5 linked regions of the Xenopus tropicalis genome follow. The main gene of each other region encodes a partner of the protein of the gene in region 3 in a complex. Links are inferred from orthologs where the notes say so. Each region holds a gene or a part of one and is shown on either strand. Other genes may lie near its edges. The genes, in order: casp2, camkk2, ywhag, hdac4 and cftr.

Region 1 (2,941 bases), on a different chromosome or scaffold from region 3:
TTAACAGAAACCAAGAGCCAAACTGAAGGAACTCAGTAAAGGAGAATGGTGGAGGGACAAACGGTCCCCATTCACCTTAAGATCGAGCGAGCGGATCGTCTTCCGATATCCCCCACCTACAGATGGGAGATATCGGGAGAATCAAGGCTAATTCGATTGTTTGGCCCTGGGGCCAAACGATCGAATTATAATGACGGGTATAGGAAAAGTTGGTCTGGGGACCGCATCAACGAGCCGATGGGGTCCCCAATCAAACGATTTTTTTAAACTGCCAATTTCAGGCCAGATATCGGTTGGGCAGGCCTGTCGGTAGTGCCCATACACGGGCCGGTTAGCTGCCAAATTGGTTTAAGGGACCAATTTCGGCAGCAAAAATTGGCCCGTCTATGGGGACCTAAAGAGATCGGAAACAATTTCACAAAAGAGAGAATACAAGTTCAAATCAGGAGGCCCAGTTTAAGCAAATACATTCTGTATCAAAAAGCCATAATTTCTTATAGGGTCACAGTGACTTTCCTAACAAAATGTCGACAAGGAAAACCACTGTTCTTGAGCGGGCAGTCAGTGCCATCCCATGAATGGCCATCTTAGGGCATGCAGAAATACAATCAATGACCAATCATACATTGATCTGATGAGGTGACTTCCTTCAGAGACAGTTTGGGTTCACAAATCAGTAAAACAAGAACCAGCAATGCCCCGCAGAGCACTCTCTAAGTGGGATTTGTGAATTCACTTTTACGCATGATATACCATGCAACTAAAGCATACAGAACTGAGCAGTAATGAGACAGTTGAAAGAACAACCATACCAGTCTTGTAGTACTAAAAATGTAGAAAGAGAAAGGAAAAAAACACTTAAATCATAAAATAGAGGTTTATTGAAGTGCTGGCCTTCCATGGTATAATGGCGAGACACTCTACTGCAACAGGTCCCGCAGTGCTACGACAGAGTGATTGGCCAAGTATAAAATTTACAGTACGTGGCAGTGACAAATAACGAGACAGACCTGAGAGAGAGTCAAAGTGCAGCAAAATCATGATACTGGCAGGACGTCGGGCAGTTACAATACACAGAGAAACGTAGGGGTGTCCCAAAAGTTCTTCAGGAGTCTACCTCCTGGAGTATTATACTGCCATAGGAAATGGATCTTTGAAAATTACAGAATACACACGGCTGACATTAGGTTGAGTGGATCCTTGTTTAAAAAAACAAACAAACCACTGGCTTGATCTGAAGGGATCCTGGAACAGAAGAAATCCTCTGGATTAGAGAATACACATCTCCGGCTTTGGGCTGAGGGGATCTTGGGATAGCGGAATACATGCCTCCAGCTTTGGGCTGAGGGGATCTTGGGATAGCAGAATACATGCCTCTAGCTTTGGGCTGAGGGGATCTTGGGATAGCGGAATACACACCTCCGGCTTTGGGCTGAGGGGGTCTTGGGATAGCGGAATACATGCCTCTAGCTTAGGGCTGAGGGGATCTTGGGATAGCGGAATACACGCCTCTAGCTTTGGGCTGAGGGGATCTTGGGATAGCGGAATACACGCCTCTAGCTTTGGGCTGAGGGGTTCTTGGGATAGCGGAATACATGCCTCTAGCTTTGGGCTGAGGGGATCTTGGGATAGCGGAATACATGCCTCTAGCTTTGGGCTGAGGGGATCTTGGGATAGCGGAATACATGCCTCTAGCTTTGGGCTGAGGGGATCTTGGGATAACAAAATACACATCTCTGGCTCTCGGCTGAAGCAATATAAAAAAAACATTATACCCACTGCTGGGTTTTGGCTGAACGGATCTCAGGCAGTGGCTTTATCTTACTTATAATATGGTCCAAAATACAGTCTTTGGAATGGAAAGACATCTTGTTCAGGCAAACGTCTGCAACACCAGAAACGGTAAGGAATTTTAAAAAAGTAAAATGATCACAAATATGGAAGACGAGCAAAAAACATGTAAATCTTCTGTAAAAATAAACCATTTATATTACATTAAAAAAAAATGTACAAAAGAAGTGGCTGGTTCCTGGGCAGTAATGCCGGGGGAATCACTTGGGGGGCCCAATGCCAGGGAAGAGATACAGGTCACGGCACAATGTGCTGCAATATTCTGACATCTCTTTGCACCGGTGGAACTCAGTGCCGGGAGCATGCCCCTCGCGCTCCTTTATAAGTGCATTCACCTGAAATGAGACATATCAGTGAGAGCCTAGAACAGGAAGGTGCCTTCTGAACCAAAATTTTCATTGGCAATTTTAGATCAACAACATCTGAAGTGCCACAAAGCATGTGGGCCTTGCTACAAATGAAGCCAATACACACCTTGACCAACATGTCGGCTACATGAGTGTTTTTGGAGTACTGGGAGAACACAGAGACGAGATCCTGCACAAACCAGGAACCTCGCTTGGTGTTACGCAAGGACACGGTGCCTGGGGAAATAAATGAAGAATAAGCAGTAGAGAAATACTATTAAACTGCAGGAGCCAGACAGGGGCCCCAGCACAAACAAGAATTTACCTTTGAGACAGGCATAGGCACAGATCATGTCTGACTGTGTGGGGAGCCGGACTTTTATGTCCTCCCTGCCGGCATCGCTCTGCTCGCAGCCTGGAGAAGCCGACTGCTCTCTCCCATCCCGCTGATCCACCCCACGGTCAGCCTCCTCTGGAACACAGAGATAGGAGTTGTAACAACAAGATTCCATGGGCACCAACCAAGTCCCATAATCCCAAGGATAGCTCCACTGTGGTCATTAGTCACAGTCTCATAGGTATTGGCCAGAACTGGGATAATGATCAATCGTTACAGAAGGCAGGAATCCAGGAGTCAGTTGCTATCTTAAACAAACAGAGGGAGCTTCTATGGCTGTTTACTCAGGTATGGTTATGCTTTCTGCAGAATAAATATACCATATATACACTAGTATAAGCCGATC
Region 2 (3,894 bases), on a different chromosome or scaffold from region 3:
TTAAGTACACAGAGGTGCAAACAGCCCCCCATGGCCCATTAAGTAGTGACTTTCTATACCCCATTACTGCAGCTTTTCTGGTATTTGCCAAAATCAACAGATTGCCAGTCCAGGGCTCCTTTGCACTCCATAAATGAGTCCTATCATGTATCAGATGAAAATGTACCGAGCAGGCACAGGCTAATAATGGCTCGTCAGATGCTACTAAACTATAATGTTAATTTTTTAGCTGTCTATGGAGTGATAGGAGCTGTAGTTTAACATTGGTAGGATCATACATCATACATTCTTCTTAAAAGAGCAGTATGCTTTTTATTCTGTAAATAATGTTTAAATGTTATTAACAAAAGATAAGCTTAACTGTTGAATAGAAGATAGTTACTGTTAATAGAAAAATGTGTTAACCCAACAGTGCATTATCAGAAGATTATACACCGTGACGTCAAGCCATCTAACCTCCTGCTGGGAGAGGATGGGCACATTAAGATCGCTGACTTTGGTGTCAGTAATACATTTGAAGGGAACGATGCCTTTCTGTCCAACACAGTGGGAACACCTGCATTCATGGCTCCAGAAACCCTCTCTGAAACCCGCAAAATATTCTCAGGAAAGGTAATAATCTCTGCTTGATTTTTGTTTCCCCTAATATGACATGTCAGTCTGTTCTTAAGCAATTTTATTAAATTACTAGTTAAGCTGTCTAAAATGTGAGCTTACTGGGTTATTTGCTTGCTGTTTTTGATACCCTGTGGTACACCTCCACTGACGCTTCATTGCTAGGATACGTCTTGCTGTTAACACCAACTTTACAGATATAGATGGGATTAAAGCACCATGGCTTACAAAATGCTGTTCATACGCTGCCCTCTTTCTGCAGTGAAGGCATGAAATATGTATATTGATCTGTAAGTGCTTTGACATACTGTTTCAGATAAATGCATCAGAGTCTGAAGATGTAGATGCCACCCCACACAAACCTATGCACAAGTCTACAAGCTGGGGACATTTTATGGTGTATCTGGTGCGCAGTTTGCAAAAGGGCGCTGCGCTGGGTGCCAAAAGCTTCAGTGCTTTAGGCACAACAAGTTCAGTAGAAACTGGGCTTGCTTTTATTTATCACAATGGAGAACAAGTAACTATTATATCTAGTTCTCTCTGACAGTTGTTGGGGATCACTCTGCACATAACTCTTTTTACAGGAGAATTGTCTCTTTACTCTATCCTCTACCCTCAGACATCTTTTCCTTCAGCAGTGTTTCTGTGAGACCCAAAATCTTTTTTAGAATCAGTCATGCACCTTTTTCTAATATAATATAGGACGAAATTTGATATTATTAAAGATGATCTTGGGGAGTCGACTTAAAAAACATGGGGACACAATTCTGGATCTCCAGTCCACAGTTTTCACTGACAGAATGGGCTTAGCTCCTTCTTTCTTCACCTTTTAAAACCATACTAGTAGATAGAAATACTGTAACTGTATAATAAAGCAAAGGCAATGCACAAAGACCAGATAGAATCAATACAACATTCCAGAGACAGCATATGGAAAGCAGACATGTGACACAGGTATTATCCTGTTCCCAAGACCAAGTATGGAAAATGGGCGCTGGGTGAAAGCTGCTATTTTTGTTCTAGGAAAATGTGATGGTGCTGGGGAACGGAGGGGATATATGCAAATGCTGTTATTTGGGTGGGGGAGATGTACCCAACTTATATACATGGTAGGAAAATGTAGGGTTTACATGTTCTTTAATTCCTTTAACAATGATTGCATTAAAATTTCTGTCCTATGATGTTAGGAATTTCTCTGCCACTGTTTGACATAAATCTGAGACTAATGGCATTCTTCTAAACATAGTTTTGATGCTAATATGGAAGAGAATAAGGAAGAGCAAAACTATATTTTAGCAGACTGTTAATGTTAATAAGAAAAAGTGCAACTTCCAGAGACTGATACTGTTGGCTTGCTTCACCCCTCTGTAGAACTGTACACAAACCATTCACCTTTTGTCATTCCATATGTAAGAGGCTTATGGAAAATACGTAAGCAAGGCTGCTCTTGGAACAGATACTTTCCTAGAGTCAGGGACAGACTAGGGTGCTAAGGACCTAATTTCTGTTCTTTCTTAATCAACTTCTCTAGACATTATAACCTTGTTTACCTGCTTCTTTCTCTCGCTCTCTATCATAAAGTAGAAGAATGCCCCCTGAACTGTGCCCACATTTTTCCCAGTGTCCTATGTGCCAGTCAACATTGCCTAATATATATATTTTTTCCACCGATCCCAAAGAAAAGTGGCTACCATATCTTTGGATCATTGCTCACTTTGCGGTGATTATGATTTAGAAGGAAGTAGCCTTTAAAAACAAAACAAATGTATTTTTCCTGTGTGAGGTACGTACCCACAGCTTAACCAACTGCTACCTAAGTGTTAAATATGCGCAGAGAGTTCACATGTAGGCAGCAAGTAGGGATGTTACCATGGGTACCGGATTCTCTTATATCAGCTCAGTGTGTGACAGATGTACAGTTCCACATTGCAGGTTCATTAACACTATCTTTTTTTTCCCTTTTTTAGGCACTGGATGTTTGGGCAATGGGTGTGACTCTGAATTGTTTTGTATTTGGTCAGGTAATTTACCCTCCGCCATGTCAAATCCATACATACATACTAAATATTATGGTTCCACTTTAAACATACAGTATGTACATTAGTATGAAGAGTACGCAGAACATTTTATTATTCAGGTTGAATTTTACACCCCCTCATTGTTTTCAGTTTCACCCTTTCCAAGGGGAACTTAATCCCCTCATTGTTTTCAGTTTCACCCTTTCCAAGGGGCTAAGTTCCCCTCATTGTATCCCCTCATTGTTTTCATTTTCACCCTTTCCAAGGGGAACTTAATCCCCTCAATTTTTTCAGTTTCACCAATTCAAGGAAAATCTAATCCCCTCATTTTCAGTTTCACCCGGGTTAAAGCACATTTTTTGAGTTTTAACAATGCTTTCAATTCAAAACATTATGGATTTTCGAATGTAATCTCGAAATTTTCATTCGAAAGATTTAAGCATTATCGTGACATTTTATAAATACAGCAATGATCGAGTTTAAATCAAATTTATACCATGTCAAGTTTATATGACATCAAGACCAGAAAAAAAGGAATTTTAGTAAATGTGCCCCTTAGTGTTAAGTATGCCTTGCCAAGAATGCCAGCCACTTAGATGTGGGTGTCTAGTGTCAGGTATAACGAGTGTAGGTGAGCCATGCGGGTCCTGTTATTGAGGTTAAAGCCTCAGGTGGCAACTTTAAAAGCCAGCATTCCATAAAAGTGTTTGGAGTTAAAAGGTTACCACATTGTTAATGGGTTGTACTACACAGTAACTAATAAACTCAACTCTGATATAAGATACCCATCTATTCAACCTTCTCCTCTATTATACAAAAAAAAGCCAGAGCAGTAATTGTTTCTATAAATACATATTTTTATAGATTTGATAACTATAGATAGATAACTTTACTTTCCTTGTAAGTGACGCTGGTCCAATTTTTGTATATTCTTTAGTGCCCATTTATGGATGAAAGGATTCTAGCTCTACACAGCAAAATAAAGAATCAGCCACTGGAGTTTCCTGACCAGTAAGTCTTTTTTGCTTATTTGCATCCTGAGATTTTGAATTAAACCCTACTTTTGGTTAAACCAGAGAAAAGGGGGCATATTTATGATTGCTTTTGCCTTTTGGGTCAGCAATTATAAAAGAAATCCAGTGTGAGTTAAGGAACTCACGCCAGCCATCATTACAAAAGCTTTGTTAGTTGAGGTATTTTTTTTAATAATAAAAAGTTTGGCAGCTTTTATGTAGCCCCATAAATGGGACCCACAGTTACC
Region 3 (4,524 bases):
TCTGCCCAGTTTTCAGAACATTAAAACCCTGGATAGAAAGTTTTGAAACTGATTGCTCTTGAAAAACTGGGCTCTCTGGTTCAAAACCAGACAGGCTCCTTTATTTGATCAACTGTGGTTTATAGGCAAAATCCACATAGTGTAAACATTTTAATAAAAAACTACTCTTACTAAAATTGCTCTAACATATATGTTGTTTCTAAAAAGTCTATCCTGAGCACCAGTCTTCTCTCCCTTCTCAGCAATCTGTGAATTGTAAACAGGTGGCATCTCTGCAGCGTGTTCTCCCAGCAGGGTGGCACCGGGAGGATGTCACAGCCTGGAGCATTTTGTTTGTTGAAACATCCTCCAGTTGCAACAGATGAAACGCTTTAGACTGTGAAGTCACCCAGATGCTTAGAAGCCTCTGTCACAACAGATGGAATGTTCCATAGTATACAATCTGATATTGTATTCATTTGTGCATAGTGTTGCCACCTTTCTGGGAAGAAATACCCGCCTCCTTATAGTTTAATCTAATTTTCTATTTATAAACTTGGCATGGACCATCATTTTTACAGTCCAGGCTGGCAAAATACTGGCCAGGTGGCAACCCTAACTGTGCATAGCATCAATTAGTACTTATCAGAAAAGTATAGTTAACTCAAATGCCATAAAGGCTTTTCCAAGTCACAGGGTGTGACAGTAAAGTTTAAGCTTTTAAACTGTTGGTAAAGTTTGTGCCAAGTAAACATGTACCAGCCAGAATGCAGGCCTCCGAGCCTATCACATTCTGAACTGTTCTGACAATGGAATGACTCTACCTGTGTGAATATTACAAGGCACCCAAGAGTAACAGGACAAGTATCACGTCAGGTCAGGCTGATGGAACTATGAAGATTTATTGGATTCCCGGTACACCATTCAGCGTTTAACAAAACAGAACACCCATTTGGAACAAGATTATGATAAATGTTACCGTTAAACTCTCAAGTTAGCAGCTACTGACAATATCAAATTGGAGATATCCCAAATATCACTGCAGGCGATAAGCGACTAGAAGCCGGAGAGCAAGGAGGGAGACGTAGTCTTTTGTTCAAGGCGTTTCCCTACATGCACATCGGTACCGCATGCCTAAGAAAACTACGATTCCCATCAAACCATGCGGATCTACCCTGCCACCCTGTACCGCACTATTTCTGCCTGGAACCACCGCCCCGCAGTCAACCAAGACCTTTTAGTGATCGAAGCACAAACTGCTGCCCTTGTACGGTGGGTGACGGCGCCAAGTAGGCGGGACTTATATTTATTCCAAGTGACGTCAATAGGCTGGGAGGCGGAGTTGGAGTGAGGCAGTCGCTGGAGGTGCTACAGACTGGGTAGTAGCTAGATAGGCAAGCAGCCGTTATTTGCTAGTAGGTGACAGCGAGAGGAGGAAGACTTGCAGATAGCTGTAAAGACGCATTTGACATTTAAGGAGGCTTTGCCTTGGTCCAGCCTCTGCATCTGTTCTGCGCTGTCTCCGCTGCAGTCGAGTGCGAGTCGCAAGCCCCGAACCCATCCGCACGTTCTCTTCGCACGGTCTCGCACTCAGCAACATGGTGGACCGCGAGCAGCTGGTGCAGAAAGCCCGACTGGCGGAGCAAGCTGAGCGCTATGATGATATGGCGGCTGCTATGAAAGCCGTAAGTGCGATGATTGAGAGCTGGAGGGAATGTGTGTGGCCGACCTCATAGTTGTTCATCAGTTTATTACTATGATAAGGGATCAATGCATTTGTACTATGGACACATCTGCAGAGGTGTATCTCCATGTGGTTCCGAGGTGGGCATGTAGGGAAGCTTACCGATTGTATATAGATGGATAGATATAGATATTGCAACCTGTCATTTTCCTTTTTACCGCTTGTCAAACAGCTGACCTTTAGTCATGCACTTCCAGGCAGGGATGCGCAACCTGCGGCCCTCCAGCTGATATGTCACTTATCTATCAGCCCTCCAGCTGATCTATCAGCCCTCCAGCTGATCTATCTATCAGCCCTCCAGCTGATCTATCTATCAGCCCTCCAACTGATCTATAAGCCCTCCAGCTGATCTGTCACTTATCTATCAGCCCTCCAGTTGATCTATCACTTACTATCCACCTGGATGCCACTGTTGGCTGGACTACGCTGCCCATTCCTGCTTTAGGAAAGTGTAAGGGATTTCCCTAGAAGCATTAGTGTGCAGCGGGCATCTACAGTCTGACTCTCCAGCTGAGAACATCAAGTAATGCTGAGATTTGTAGTTCAGTAATGTTAGGATAGTCCAATTAGTCAACAATGTAGTTTTGGTTAAGAATGGATAAAAGGTATTGAGGCATAGTTGTGTTTCCTGTCATTGTGCTGTTTCCCAGTATCCAGGCATGGCATGTATTAGACGCCTATGTAGAACATCATTTATTCACAATGGAATTGTGTTGCCTTGATGATAACTGTGAGGGGGTTGCCCAGGAATATCTTCCCATGGCCCCTCCCAGATTCTCCTAATTTGCTGCATTCTTACTGCTACTGGTAACATTTGGAGACCTTGTGACAGGGATGTCAGACTTGCATCCTCTCAGCTTCTGTGGGACTGCACTGGCCTGGTTGTAAAATCATTTCAGTTATAGGTCAAATAAATGCTGCTGCTCACACAGGGTATCTGTGACTTATAAAGACACTTCTCATCTGCAGACAAACCTTTTAATGGTAGCAGCAGCTATTTCTGCATTTACCCTTGGGCCCTAGAAAGGGAACACCATAAATCCATTGCAATTCTATGGGGGGGGAATGCCTAAGTGTACATGTATGTACTTTGGCTGTTGGGAGGGAGGGGTGGTGACGCTTAGCAACTGCTGAAGAGATGCATGTTGGGCTTCCTCTCTGTATTGTCAGACAAGGGGCCTGTGGAGTAGACATTAGAAAATTGGGATAGCCCTTCATCCCTCCCTTATCTTCATCCTTACAGTTATTTTCTGTAGTTATGACACTTGGGACATAGTGTTACTATGGCATGTGCGCATAATTATAAGTCCTAAGATGGAATATGAATTAACTTTCTATCTGAAGTTGTCTAGAACTAGTTGTGTCCTGTGCCAGAATTCAAGTCTGCATGGAGGCTGTACACATTAAAGGCAGGTGATAGGATATGTTTAAATGATCAAAATTGGGGCATTTTGATCATCTGAACATATTTGCAAGTAGTAGTCAGCACAATACCTTGGATTTCTTTTAGATTAGTGCAGGTTCTCCAATGGCCACTTCTCATCGGCATATACAGACAAAAAATAGTTTTTTTTGTATTTCTTGTTTAAAATGCCTTTATTGCATACATCTTAGGGCATTCCAACATATGTTATCACCTGCCATTAATGTGTACAGCCTCCATGCAGACTTGAATTCTGGCTCAGGATCCGATCCCTAGTAGTGTTCATCTTAAAACCGGCATCAGCCACCTTGTATTTATTCCAATACAAAATGGTCATAAAACAGGATTGTCAAACTTGTGGCCCTCCTGCTGTTGAAATGCAGGTCCCATTTCCTTTAGCTAATATTTGTAGTTCAACAGTCCAAAGAACTGCTTGGGGGGACATTGCTGGTAGTAGTTAATCTGGTATTTTTTCAATAAAATAATGCATAATTAAGGTTTCACAGAGAAAATTATTTTTATGTAGGACTATATTCTGTTTTCATGCAGAATTACCTGGTATATGAAAACATGCAGGCATTGTGAGCTTTCCTTTTATATTAAATCAATTTATTTTGTATTTAAATGATTTAAAAAAAATATTTAGGAAATAAGTAGAAAGACAGGGTTAAAATCTGGCCTATGATGTGATCTTTGTGAAACAAAGCAGTAGTGGGAGGCAGTACCAGCCCTTCCAGAAGATTCTGCATTTGTCATATTGCAGAGAGAGGCTGGACTGGTTAAAGGAGGGAGGGGAATCGAGGGGGGAAAAAGGCAATTGTTTAAAAGGATGGCAAAGTCCTTTTTATTTATTTTTTATACTTGATTGTAGGGATTTTCAGTGATTCCAGGCACTGAATCTCCACCATATTGCCAACGAGCTCTCACTCTTTCTCTTAGTTATAATGGAAGAACAAATATATATTGTATATATTCCACTGTATTTGTATTGTGGATATATGTTCTTTTTTTGACATTATGTTAGTATTGATTTTTTTTTTCATTTTACCCTTTGTGAATTTATTTTGTGAATTTATTTTAGCGAATTATGTTAGATCTGCATATATTCAAGTTTGTTAGCAGCAGGGGAACAAATGGCATGTAACTGATGTCTGTAATTGATTTGTTATATTTTATCAGATGGCTTTTGAAAATGATTAAACAAATAACATAAAATTTTGCAGCCCCATTTTTGTGAAGCTACACCGTCAGGCTACAATTTGTCCTTCCCTGCCCTCATCTACCTTATCTGAAAAAAGTCGCCTCACTGATTTCCATAGCAACCTATGATGATGTCAGAAGGAGACTAAATCTGCATTGCACCCAGGTGGTTACCAGA
Region 4 (3,894 bases), on a different chromosome or scaffold from region 3:
CTTATATTCCTTATATTTATATCAGATATTCAGCATCAGGGAGAATTTAGATCCGTATAATGTAATAGTCATTTCACATAGCACACTCCATCAAATCATTATCATATGACTTTGTTGTTGATGTTATATATGGACCATTATCTTATCAGTTGCCGCTTGTTCTGTTGCACTTAATGCCTGGTATTGTCTGTGTGGGTTGAATTACTGCATCACTCCACTTAGGTCACTTATGACTCATTTCCATGAAGTCAACAAAAACCACAGGCATTCTGTTGGGACTTCATATCATTATAATTGTTATCAAGTATCACTGTACAGCAGAAGGGTATATACATCAAACATACTAATTACATACACATACTGACTGAAACAGTGGGAGGTAATGCGTGCTCTGCTCATTAGAGTTTTCAGTGTAATTTTAGCAGCTGTGTTTACATGTAGTACACCACATTCACTGTATTCTTCTATCTTCTATCTCTATTTTTTTTAATGGGTTGGGTTATTAAAATAAAAACTAAGTTGCATGTTGTTGAGGTGCTTAAAAAAAGTGTGTGTCTCTCTTTTATGGATAAATGCATTTTATGGTAGTCAAGTGCCTGCTTTGAGCCTGGCTCTGCAAACGTAGTTTCCATTTTTTAACCTCATAGTAACATAGTAACATAGTAAGTTGGGTTGAAAAAAGACATACGTCCATCAAGTTCAACCATAATGCCTATATATAACCTGCCTAACTACTAGAGGAGTAATTAAAATTTAAATTGGTAGGGCCATTGTAAATACAGCTATCTTTTCTTCCCAATTCTTGTCCTTTAACGTTGGATTTTTAACTTTTTTCCCATAAACTTCTGCTTTAGATTGTTGCTTATTGTACTATACTTTTTATTGATGATTTCTGTATATTCTTGAAACCTTGCTCCTACTGACCAGTCACTTTTGTTGCTAAGCCATTTTTCATTTTACCCAATTTAGATGATTCCTAAAGTGAATGAAGCCTCGCGGCAGCATGAGAGCCACCCCGAGGAGACTGAGGAGGAGTTACGCGAGCATCAGGCACTACACGAGGAACCTTATGCAGAGCGTTTAGCTGAACAAAAGGAACTAAGCCCTGGCAGTGTGGTGCATGTAAAGCAGGAGAAAGAGGAAAGCGATGATGAAGACAATACACTGGAATTGGAACGGAGTAAAATGCAATCTGACCCAGACCTGCTGTTTAGACAGGTATGTTTTTGCCACCTCAGAACTGCTATACGTAATTTTATGTGCATTATCTCAACATAATATCAATAATCAATGGATTTTATAATGAGGATATGTAGTGTCTTACTTTACCTTAAGTAGAATCTTTTTTTCAATCTTAAATCAAAGACCACTTTGTTTTAGAGGTAAGAAGTCCTCTTTCTTTCATTTCAGCAAACATTATTACTGGAGCAACAGCGCATTCATCAACTGAGAAACTATCAGGCTTCCCTAGAGGCTGCAGGCTTAGTTGTGCCATTCAGTGGGCATCGGCCTCTCTCAAGAGCGCAGTCCTCACCTGCCTCTGCGTCATTTCCCATGTCTGTACAGGAGGCCCCCAGTAAACCCAGGTTCACCACAGGTACAGTTTTTGTGATATAATTTGTATAACTAAAGGGGAAGGTTAACTGCTTAATAAAGATTATGAATGTGACCTTTGAATATTCTACAGGCCTTGTGTATGATACATTGATGTTAAAACACCAGTGCATCTGTGGGAACACAAACAGCCATCCTGAGCATGCTGGCAGAATACAAAGTATTTGGTCAAGGCTTCAAGAAACTGGTTTACGTAGCATGTGTGAGGTGAGCAAGTAGCCATTCATTATAATGTATGCATTATTTCTATGCCTTTATATATTTATTAGGGTCCCCCACTGTTTTGCTCAAATTATTTTTTTTCCATAATATAAGTAAACAAGAAATTTTTACCACAGTCAAAATGTTATTAGACCACCATTTACTTTAATCACTGCTTGGATTATGTCTGGCATCACTTATTTAAGTTGTTGCAGAATTTTTATTATTCCAGCAGTCACAGGGCATGTCTCGTGATGCTACAATATGTTTTTTTCTTCTCAATTTTCATATGGTTTCAAAGATTTTGTTTTATTATTGTTTTAGCAGAAGTAGGTTTGACTCTGAATGGGAAATCTGGCCTGTTGGAAGATCTAAAGCATTAGGGCAAAGGCACACTAAGCATATTGACTTCTTTCTTCCGCAGACGGGGTTAAAAGCTAACTGTGCCCTTGCCCTAAGGCTGGGACAATACCCTACACTCCAATCAGTCTACCCCTATAACTGCACCTGAAGCCACAGCGTCAACCTAGGTGCAAGCACCAGGAGCAGATTTTGGCGCCAAAATGCATGTACTGTGTTTCAGTACTGAAATAAGCTCCGGGGATAATTGATAGTTCTTCTCACTTGGATCTATTCCGTCTTTCACCACAGTGTATTCGGGGCAGAAAGGCAACCCTGGAAGAATTGCAGACTGTGCATTCTGAGGCTCACACTCTCTTATACGGCACCAATCCCTTGAACCGTCAGAAGCTTGAAGGTAAGACCCTGCCTAATCTGGTTTTTGCGTTTTCAGCCAGACTTCCTGTCTGCTCCGCTGTGTGTGCCTGCAAGCGAGCAAGTGCTGTGTAGATCAGTGGAGTGGCATACAGGATTAGACCCTCTTCTCTCAGGCTGAAAAAAAAACCCAGGCTCAAAGCAGCAGAGCCAGCGCTTCATGGAGCCTTACCCTAAGGGCAAGGGTACATAAGGATATTTGTCACCCACTGCACAAACAAAGCTTCTGAAAATACCTGTCCATTAATTAACAGTGGGATTACTGCATGTAATGCAGTGCTGTTGCGGGCGTGTGCCTTCTCCATTTTTCCGCAACCAATCTCCTAAAATTACCTCTCAGTTAACTAACATTGGGATCACGCATTTAAAAGTTTGCATACAGTGATCTTAGTTGATGGAGAGGTATTTTTAGGAGGTTGGTAGCCCATGTGTAATGCTGATTTCCTGTTCCCCTGTACCATCACCCTAAGAACAGGAAAAGTGTACCTACCAGGTGCCTTGAGGAAATCTAGTATATCTGGTGTGCATTCTTTAATAAATAGCCCTATGGTAGCATCTAAAATATTAGGGCAACCAGAAAATACAAAGAGCCATGCTATCTTCTATTTAGTGCCTTATTATCTTGTTCTTGGTTGCCGTGTTCCTTAAAGTGGCCATAAACCGGCAGATTTCAGCTTACCTACCGCTGGTCCCCCAGATGGGCCTACCCAACCAACATCTGGCCTAAAATTGGACAGGTTTGATTTTCCTGTCGGATCGTGGACTGCATCGGCTTGTTGATGCGGTTCTGACAGCCCATATACCCACTGTTTTAACCATGCCAAACAAGGAATCTTAATGTGTATGGCCCCCTTTAGTGTCTGAGGGACAGCACAAAGTGTGCTCTAAAATTTTTCATTATATTGAATACAATAACAAGCAAAATATGAAGTATCCATATAAATCTCAATAACATGAACATATAAATTGCCAATAGAAATTATAATATTAAAGTATCTGTCATTACCAACATACATATATCTAAAACTAGATCTAGAATCTAAGATTATGCAGGATCACGTTGTATTAAGCCCTTTATGAAGTGTTGTGGTTTTAGAGTATGGCATAAATTCTCTCTTTTTCTCTAACTTGTAGTAGTTCCAGAAATATTTTCTATTTTGCCCAATATTCTTTACGCACCACTTAACTTTTTGTTCTGAAATCTGCCCCATGTGTTCAGCAATTGCATGCAAATAACTGCGTTTCTCCACCTCCAACCCTGAAATCATTATAAAAGCATCAAAACATAAGTAGATTGCATGGTTA
Region 5 (4,483 bases), on a different chromosome or scaffold from region 3:
AAAACACTAAACAGCATGCACTCCTAGCACTTTTTAGTTGCGCTAAGTGCTGCCAAGTCTTTCATGCCTCATGTTTTGAATTTGCATCTACTGATGCAAGGGAATCCTGGAGCTACTGCCACCTCCACTGCTACTTACTGTCACCTCCAGACCAGTCAGTAGCTCCAGGGTTTCCTAAGCACCCTGCGTCAATGGGAGCAGAGAATCTGCCTAAATAATCAACAAATGTGACAGTGAAACAAACAACCATTTATTGGCTCCAATGTTTAACAAAAAATGTAAAAAGCAAATTATTGGAGCACCCAATGTCCATTATTTTTTGTGCAATCTGTGCCTAAAGAATAGGACACACATGTCATTCCCACACCTAACACCAGAAACTACATCAACCAGGCCCTGGTGCAATTGAGACTGATTTGCAATTAAGTGTAATTGCAGTAATTTTGATGTACTGGCCACAGCTGTGTCAGATCTACTGGTGTGTGCAACCATGCTGGAATTCTGGGAAAAAAGGCATTATGGGACATGGCGATTGTGCTTGAAATTGTACTTTGCTCACAACAGTCAGTAGTAAGCAAAATTGACGCCTTATAGCCCCCTATTCTTAGCATGTTCTGTAAGTTTACATTTAAAATAAATGTCAGTTTTTTATTCTATTGGAAAATTGTATAGAATGACACTACCTTCAAATTTAATTCCCTTTCTTTCTGTGGTGAAAACTAGAACAGAATAAAGAGATAAATCTTTCTCATGGAATGTAATCTCGCCCAAAGTATCCAAACCCACATTCCTTCATTAACTGGGCAATGCATAGTGCAGTAAAAGATAACTATGTAACAATGCATTGCTTAGCAGGAAACCCTTTATGTTCGTTCCTAAGGTCATTGCATCTTAAAGTAACGTTTTTTGCAGCAACACTTTTATAGGTTGCATAGGAGACTGATTTGATTCGCTCTGTATACTGAACATTGTCATACTCCTCACTAATAAGTTCTGTGGGCAGGTAACTGTTGCTTATGCTCAAGCAATATAAAGTGCAAGCACCAGAGGTTAATGACCAAAATAGTAGGGAAAGACCAGATCTACCTTTCATCAGCACACAAGTCTGCAACTCCCCTAAGGTCTGATGGGAGACAGTTTTCTTAAGTATTCATGGGTTAATTCATGTTGGTGACATTAAAAACAAGGCAGGGGCAAACACGGCATAGAAGTGCTGCAAGCCTGCTGTACTTAGTGCTCCCAACCTTTATGTTCTCAATAAGTTGATATAGCCAGCATTTCTGTTACACATGAAGGGGAGAAGCATCTGACAGGAGCACTGGGGTGACTACAAAACTGATATCTATTTAAATATAGAAATCCTGCCAGCAGGAGCACATTATATATAATATACTCCTTGTGTATGTACAGAATTGCTTTTAATATGTTGTATACGATGCACTTAATGATAGAGGTTTAGCAGTACTGATTGTGAGAAAACAATTCAGCTTATTAAAAGAACACATTCTGTTTGCAGCACAAGCACACCCCTTTTTGTTACCTAAACGGAGAAAGGGAGGGGAGAGGGAGAATGAGAGAAAAGCAGAAGGAAGGAATGAAAGGCTGGGCTCTCTCTGTGCCTGGGCAGAGTCAAGGAGGGAGTGACTTCACCAGGCTGAGGGAATAAGGTGCGAGAGTGGTGACAGAGTGACATTACTGTGCCAAGAAGCCTGCAGCTGGCAGCACTGTGTCACCATGCAGAGATCCCCTCTGGAGAAAGCCAGCATCTTTTCACAGATTTTCTTTAGGTAAGTTCCTTCATACCTGTGCTAACCTGTTACTGACTGGCACAGAGAATAATGGCAGAGACATTCTAACTCTGGTGGGGTGCAGTGCCATGGTATGGTGCTGATGAGTTTAGGCCAGGAACATTCAAAGCTTCTACATTCAGGATCCTGATTTAGCAGTATCTTTATTACCCTGGACAAAAAACAAACACTCTGATTAATAAATCAGTTGCTGGCATTTTGGACTTTTACTGCTTGTACTTGCTTCATTTAGCCTGCACAAATACAGATCCAATGGCAAATATTTCTGCACTGCTTGTATTAGCTAAAGATGACTACAAGACAATTGTCAGTAATATACCCTATCTTTCACACTTACAGTAGCCCCAACCAGTTTACGTCTGTTTGCATTACAAAGGGAAAGTTAATTTTACGTTGACTTTTTGTGTGGATTCAAAGGATCTTCAGTATTGTTTTTTTAATTATTACATTTGCTATTCTAGCTAACCTTTTGGCTTAGCCTCCATTTGAAAATACAATCTGATTATCAGGGTCACTGACCTCAGCAACTATATTGCTTACTTTTGTGTTTAGACCATCACTTTGTCATTTTCCATTTTGATTTCAAAACTTCACTTTGGTTGCTAAGTATATTAACCCCTAGCAGGCAATTAAAAGTTGAAGAACCAAATATTTAAATAATTAAAAATCTATGAATACCAGTTGCAAATTGCCTTAGATTACTGTTATCTATGCCATATAAAAGTTAATTTTAAGGTTAACTACCACTAAATGGTTTTTTGATTAGCTTTGGGTGGTTTTTATAGCATGCACCATAACATAAAAGATTGTAAGCAGCACTTCAAGGCATAAAACGTACTGTATTGAAGAACACATTCTGCGTCGTTCTCTGACATGCTACTAGATATACCTATGTGTTTTACAAAGCATGTTAGCAGGAATCTTGTTACTCATCTACTAAAATGTCTCAAAATTTTTTACAGGCAAGGCACATTGTAATATTAACATGGCTGAAAGGATAATCTTGTTATTTAATCAAATAGTGACTGCAGGGGTCAAGCAGCAGGAGCTGTTAGCAAAAAACAGTGTAGGTGCACTGTTATTCCAGTATTTGAATAGAATTCATTGTATGATAGGGTATTGCTAAAGATTTGTGTGTCCCATAACAGTGGCTTTATTATTTCTATCCATCCTGGTAGTTTATTTTCATAACAGGCAGCTGGATTTATTCATGTCCTTGTATTAGTTGTGCTGTTCTGATTGTTATGGGATTTGGGCTCAAAAATCCTTTATGTGCATTTGCCTTGGCTTGCGAAATTGGAATTTTCAGAGGACAACAGGTGTGCTTAGCCTTACCACACATCACCTTTAAACAAGGAAGCTTAATACCAAAATAGCACAGACCTGCCTTATGATGTTTATTGTGTGACCATATTTGAAGCAAAGAATGAATAACCTTATCATTTAATGGAATAAGGACTTTGATTTTGATCTTATATTTCTAACTCCACGAGTTACATGAAATAACTCAGATTTTGTGGAATTGTATTTTTAGTGCTCCATTTTTTTCTGCATATTTACCTAAAAATCTGCCAGTTTAACCTTTTACAAAATTCATCAGAGCCAGCTAAATGGGACACCTATTCTAATTTCATTCAACCATGTGTATGTGGGTGTGTATGCAGAGTAACATTTTATAAAAAGAAATGACATCCAGCAAAATTATTAAGATAAATTAGAATTATATAGAAAATTGAGTGTCAATGCAAATCATTTTAGGCCAACAAATATTTGGAAATGGACTAAAAGGTCATTTGTCACTGAAGCTGTTGAAATACAAAATAAAAAGACAATTGCAGCAAGCTGTTTATGTCTGTTTGTTAAACTGTAGTTTGCGTGATTTGTAAACAGCGGTGCATACTACATAGACATAGCCATAGGCTATTAGGCAATAAAGGAGCATAGCAGTTAACTGAGAGTAAGAAACAAAAACTAATAGCATTGTTGTAATGAAAGGCACATTGGCCCCAATGCAGAATTTGTTGTCCTATACCCCTAGTCACAACCAGTTTGTAAATTCAATCCCCTTTCTCCATGTGGCCCATTAGGGCTTATTTACAAAGAAAGTGCACTGTGAAAAATGTAAATGCAATTCAACATGTGTTTTACTAACAAAGTCTCTATAAGAGTAGACTCCTAAAAAATTCCAATAACCAATGTTGACTCAAATCCCTTTCACAGAGCAATGGCTAAGAGAGGTGTATCAATGTATATATCATGCTTTCTTACATCTTATAAAGCCTGATTGTTACAGAATCATATACTGGGAGTTTACTTGCCCAGGGGCCACCATCTTCAATAGGCTAATAGACCAGGCTAATCATTACCCTTGTGATAATCAAATTAACATCAGACCAATAGACACTTGTTATGTACAATTTAGTTTTTTTTATTGACCCAGAAAGTGTTTACAGATCTAGAAATACACATGCTTTCATATTGCATCATTCCTACCATAAGAAATGTATCCCTTGCGTTTCAAACAAGCTGAAGTATTTTTATGATTATTATTTTAAAAACACCTCAGATGGTGACTCTACTGTGTGGCAACATTGTATTTCCAGGTATTGATATCCATTAATTAAAGTATGAAAAGAGATGGAGAGGAAGCCCCCTACCCTGAATCTTTTACATTT

What was found.
Region 1: the proteins of ywhag (region 3) and casp2 are in contact, whole or in part, in a crystal structure (PDB 6S9K), measured with the Homo sapiens proteins. The link is inferred for Xenopus tropicalis from reciprocal best matches to the Homo sapiens genes YWHAG and CASP2. Residues at the interface, in NP_036611.2 of Homo sapiens: Glu15, Asn43, Val47, Arg57, Arg61, Lys125, Arg132, Tyr133, Pro170, Gly174, Leu177, Asn178, Val181, Glu185, Glu213, Asp214, Lys217, Asp218, Leu221, Ile222, Leu225, Asn229, Leu232, Trp233; in NP_116764.2 of Homo sapiens: Asp137, Leu138, Ser139, Leu140, Pro141, Phe142, Pro143, Val144, Cys145, Glu146, Leu150, Lys152, Lys153, Leu154, Ser157.
Region 2: the proteins of ywhag (region 3) and camkk2 are in contact, whole or in part, in a crystal structure (PDB 6Y6B), measured with the Homo sapiens proteins. The link is inferred for Xenopus tropicalis from reciprocal best matches to the Homo sapiens genes YWHAG and CAMKK2. Residues at the interface, in NP_036611.2 of Homo sapiens: Ser46, Val47, Lys50, Asn51, Arg57, Arg132, Tyr133, Gly174, Leu177, Asn178, Val181, Glu185, Ile222, Leu225, Asn229, Trp233; in NP_001257414.1 of Homo sapiens: Leu99, Ser100, Leu101, Gln102, Glu103, Arg104.
Region 4: the proteins of ywhag (region 3) and hdac4 are in contact, whole or in part, in a crystal structure (PDB 3UZD), measured with the Homo sapiens proteins. The link is inferred for Xenopus tropicalis from reciprocal best matches to the Homo sapiens genes YWHAG and HDAC4. Residues at the interface, in NP_036611.2 of Homo sapiens: Asn43, Leu44, Ser46, Val47, Lys50, Asn51, Arg57, Phe122, Lys125, Arg132, Tyr133, Gly174, Leu177, Asn178, Val181, Glu185, Leu221, Ile222, Leu225, Asn229, Trp233; in NP_001365345.1 of Homo sapiens: Ser348, Pro349, Ser350, Leu351, Pro352, Asn353, Ile354, Leu356.
Region 5: the proteins of ywhag (region 3) and cftr are in contact, whole or in part, in a crystal structure (PDB 5D3E), measured with the Homo sapiens proteins. The link is inferred for Xenopus tropicalis from reciprocal best matches to the Homo sapiens genes YWHAG and CFTR. Residues at the interface, in NP_036611.2 of Homo sapiens: Lys50, Arg57, Arg61, Lys125, Arg132, Tyr133, Leu177, Asn178, Val181, Glu185, Ile222, Leu225, Asn229, Leu232; in NP_000483.3 of Homo sapiens: Arg766, Gln767, Ser768, Val769, Leu770.

What each region holds. Positions count from the first base shown.
Region 1 is NC_030683.2:7,293,757-7,296,697, forward strand, and holds the end of casp2 (caspase-2), read right to left. Parts: intron 2,671-2,941; coding exon 2,524-2,670; intron 2,436-2,523; coding exon 2,326-2,435; intron 2,187-2,325; coding exon 2,052-2,186; 3' UTR 859-2,051; downstream 1-858. UniProt on the Homo sapiens protein: Is a regulator of the cascade of caspases responsible for apoptosis execution. Might function by either activating some proteins required for cell death or inactivating proteins necessary for cell survival.
Region 2 is NC_030677.2:162,455,285-162,459,178, forward strand, and holds part of camkk2 (calcium/calmodulin-dependent protein kinase kinase 2), read left to right. Parts: intron 1-412; coding exon 413-612; intron 613-2,582; coding exon 2,583-2,636; intron 2,637-3,570; coding exon 3,571-3,644; intron 3,645-3,894. UniProt on the Homo sapiens protein: Calcium/calmodulin-dependent protein kinase belonging to a proposed calcium-triggered signaling cascade involved in a number of cellular processes. Isoform 1, isoform 2 and isoform 3 phosphorylate CAMK1 and CAMK4. Isoform 3 phosphorylates CAMK1D.
Region 3 is NC_030678.2:94,294,885-94,299,408, reverse strand, and holds the start of ywhag (14-3-3 protein gamma), read left to right. Parts: upstream 1-1,437; 5' UTR 1,438-1,577; coding exon 1,578-1,664; intron 1,665-4,524. UniProt on the Homo sapiens protein: Adapter protein implicated in the regulation of a large spectrum of both general and specialized signaling pathways. Binds to a large number of partners, usually by recognition of a phosphoserine or phosphothreonine motif.
Region 4 is NC_030685.2:60,780,543-60,784,436, reverse strand, and holds part of hdac4 (histone deacetylase 4), read left to right. Parts: intron 1-969; coding exon 970-1,218; intron 1,219-1,410; coding exon 1,411-1,597; intron 1,598-1,687; coding exon 1,688-1,821; intron 1,822-2,466; coding exon 2,467-2,572; intron 2,573-3,894. UniProt on the Homo sapiens protein: Responsible for the deacetylation of lysine residues on the N-terminal part of the core histones (H2A, H2B, H3 and H4).
Region 5 is NC_030679.2:68,497,003-68,501,485, forward strand, and holds the start of cftr (cystic fibrosis transmembrane conductance regulator), read left to right. Parts: upstream 1-1,588; 5' UTR 1,589-1,734; coding exon 1,735-1,787; intron 1,788-4,483. UniProt on the Homo sapiens protein: Epithelial ion channel that plays an important role in the regulation of epithelial ion and water transport and fluid homeostasis. Mediates the transport of chloride ions across the cell membrane.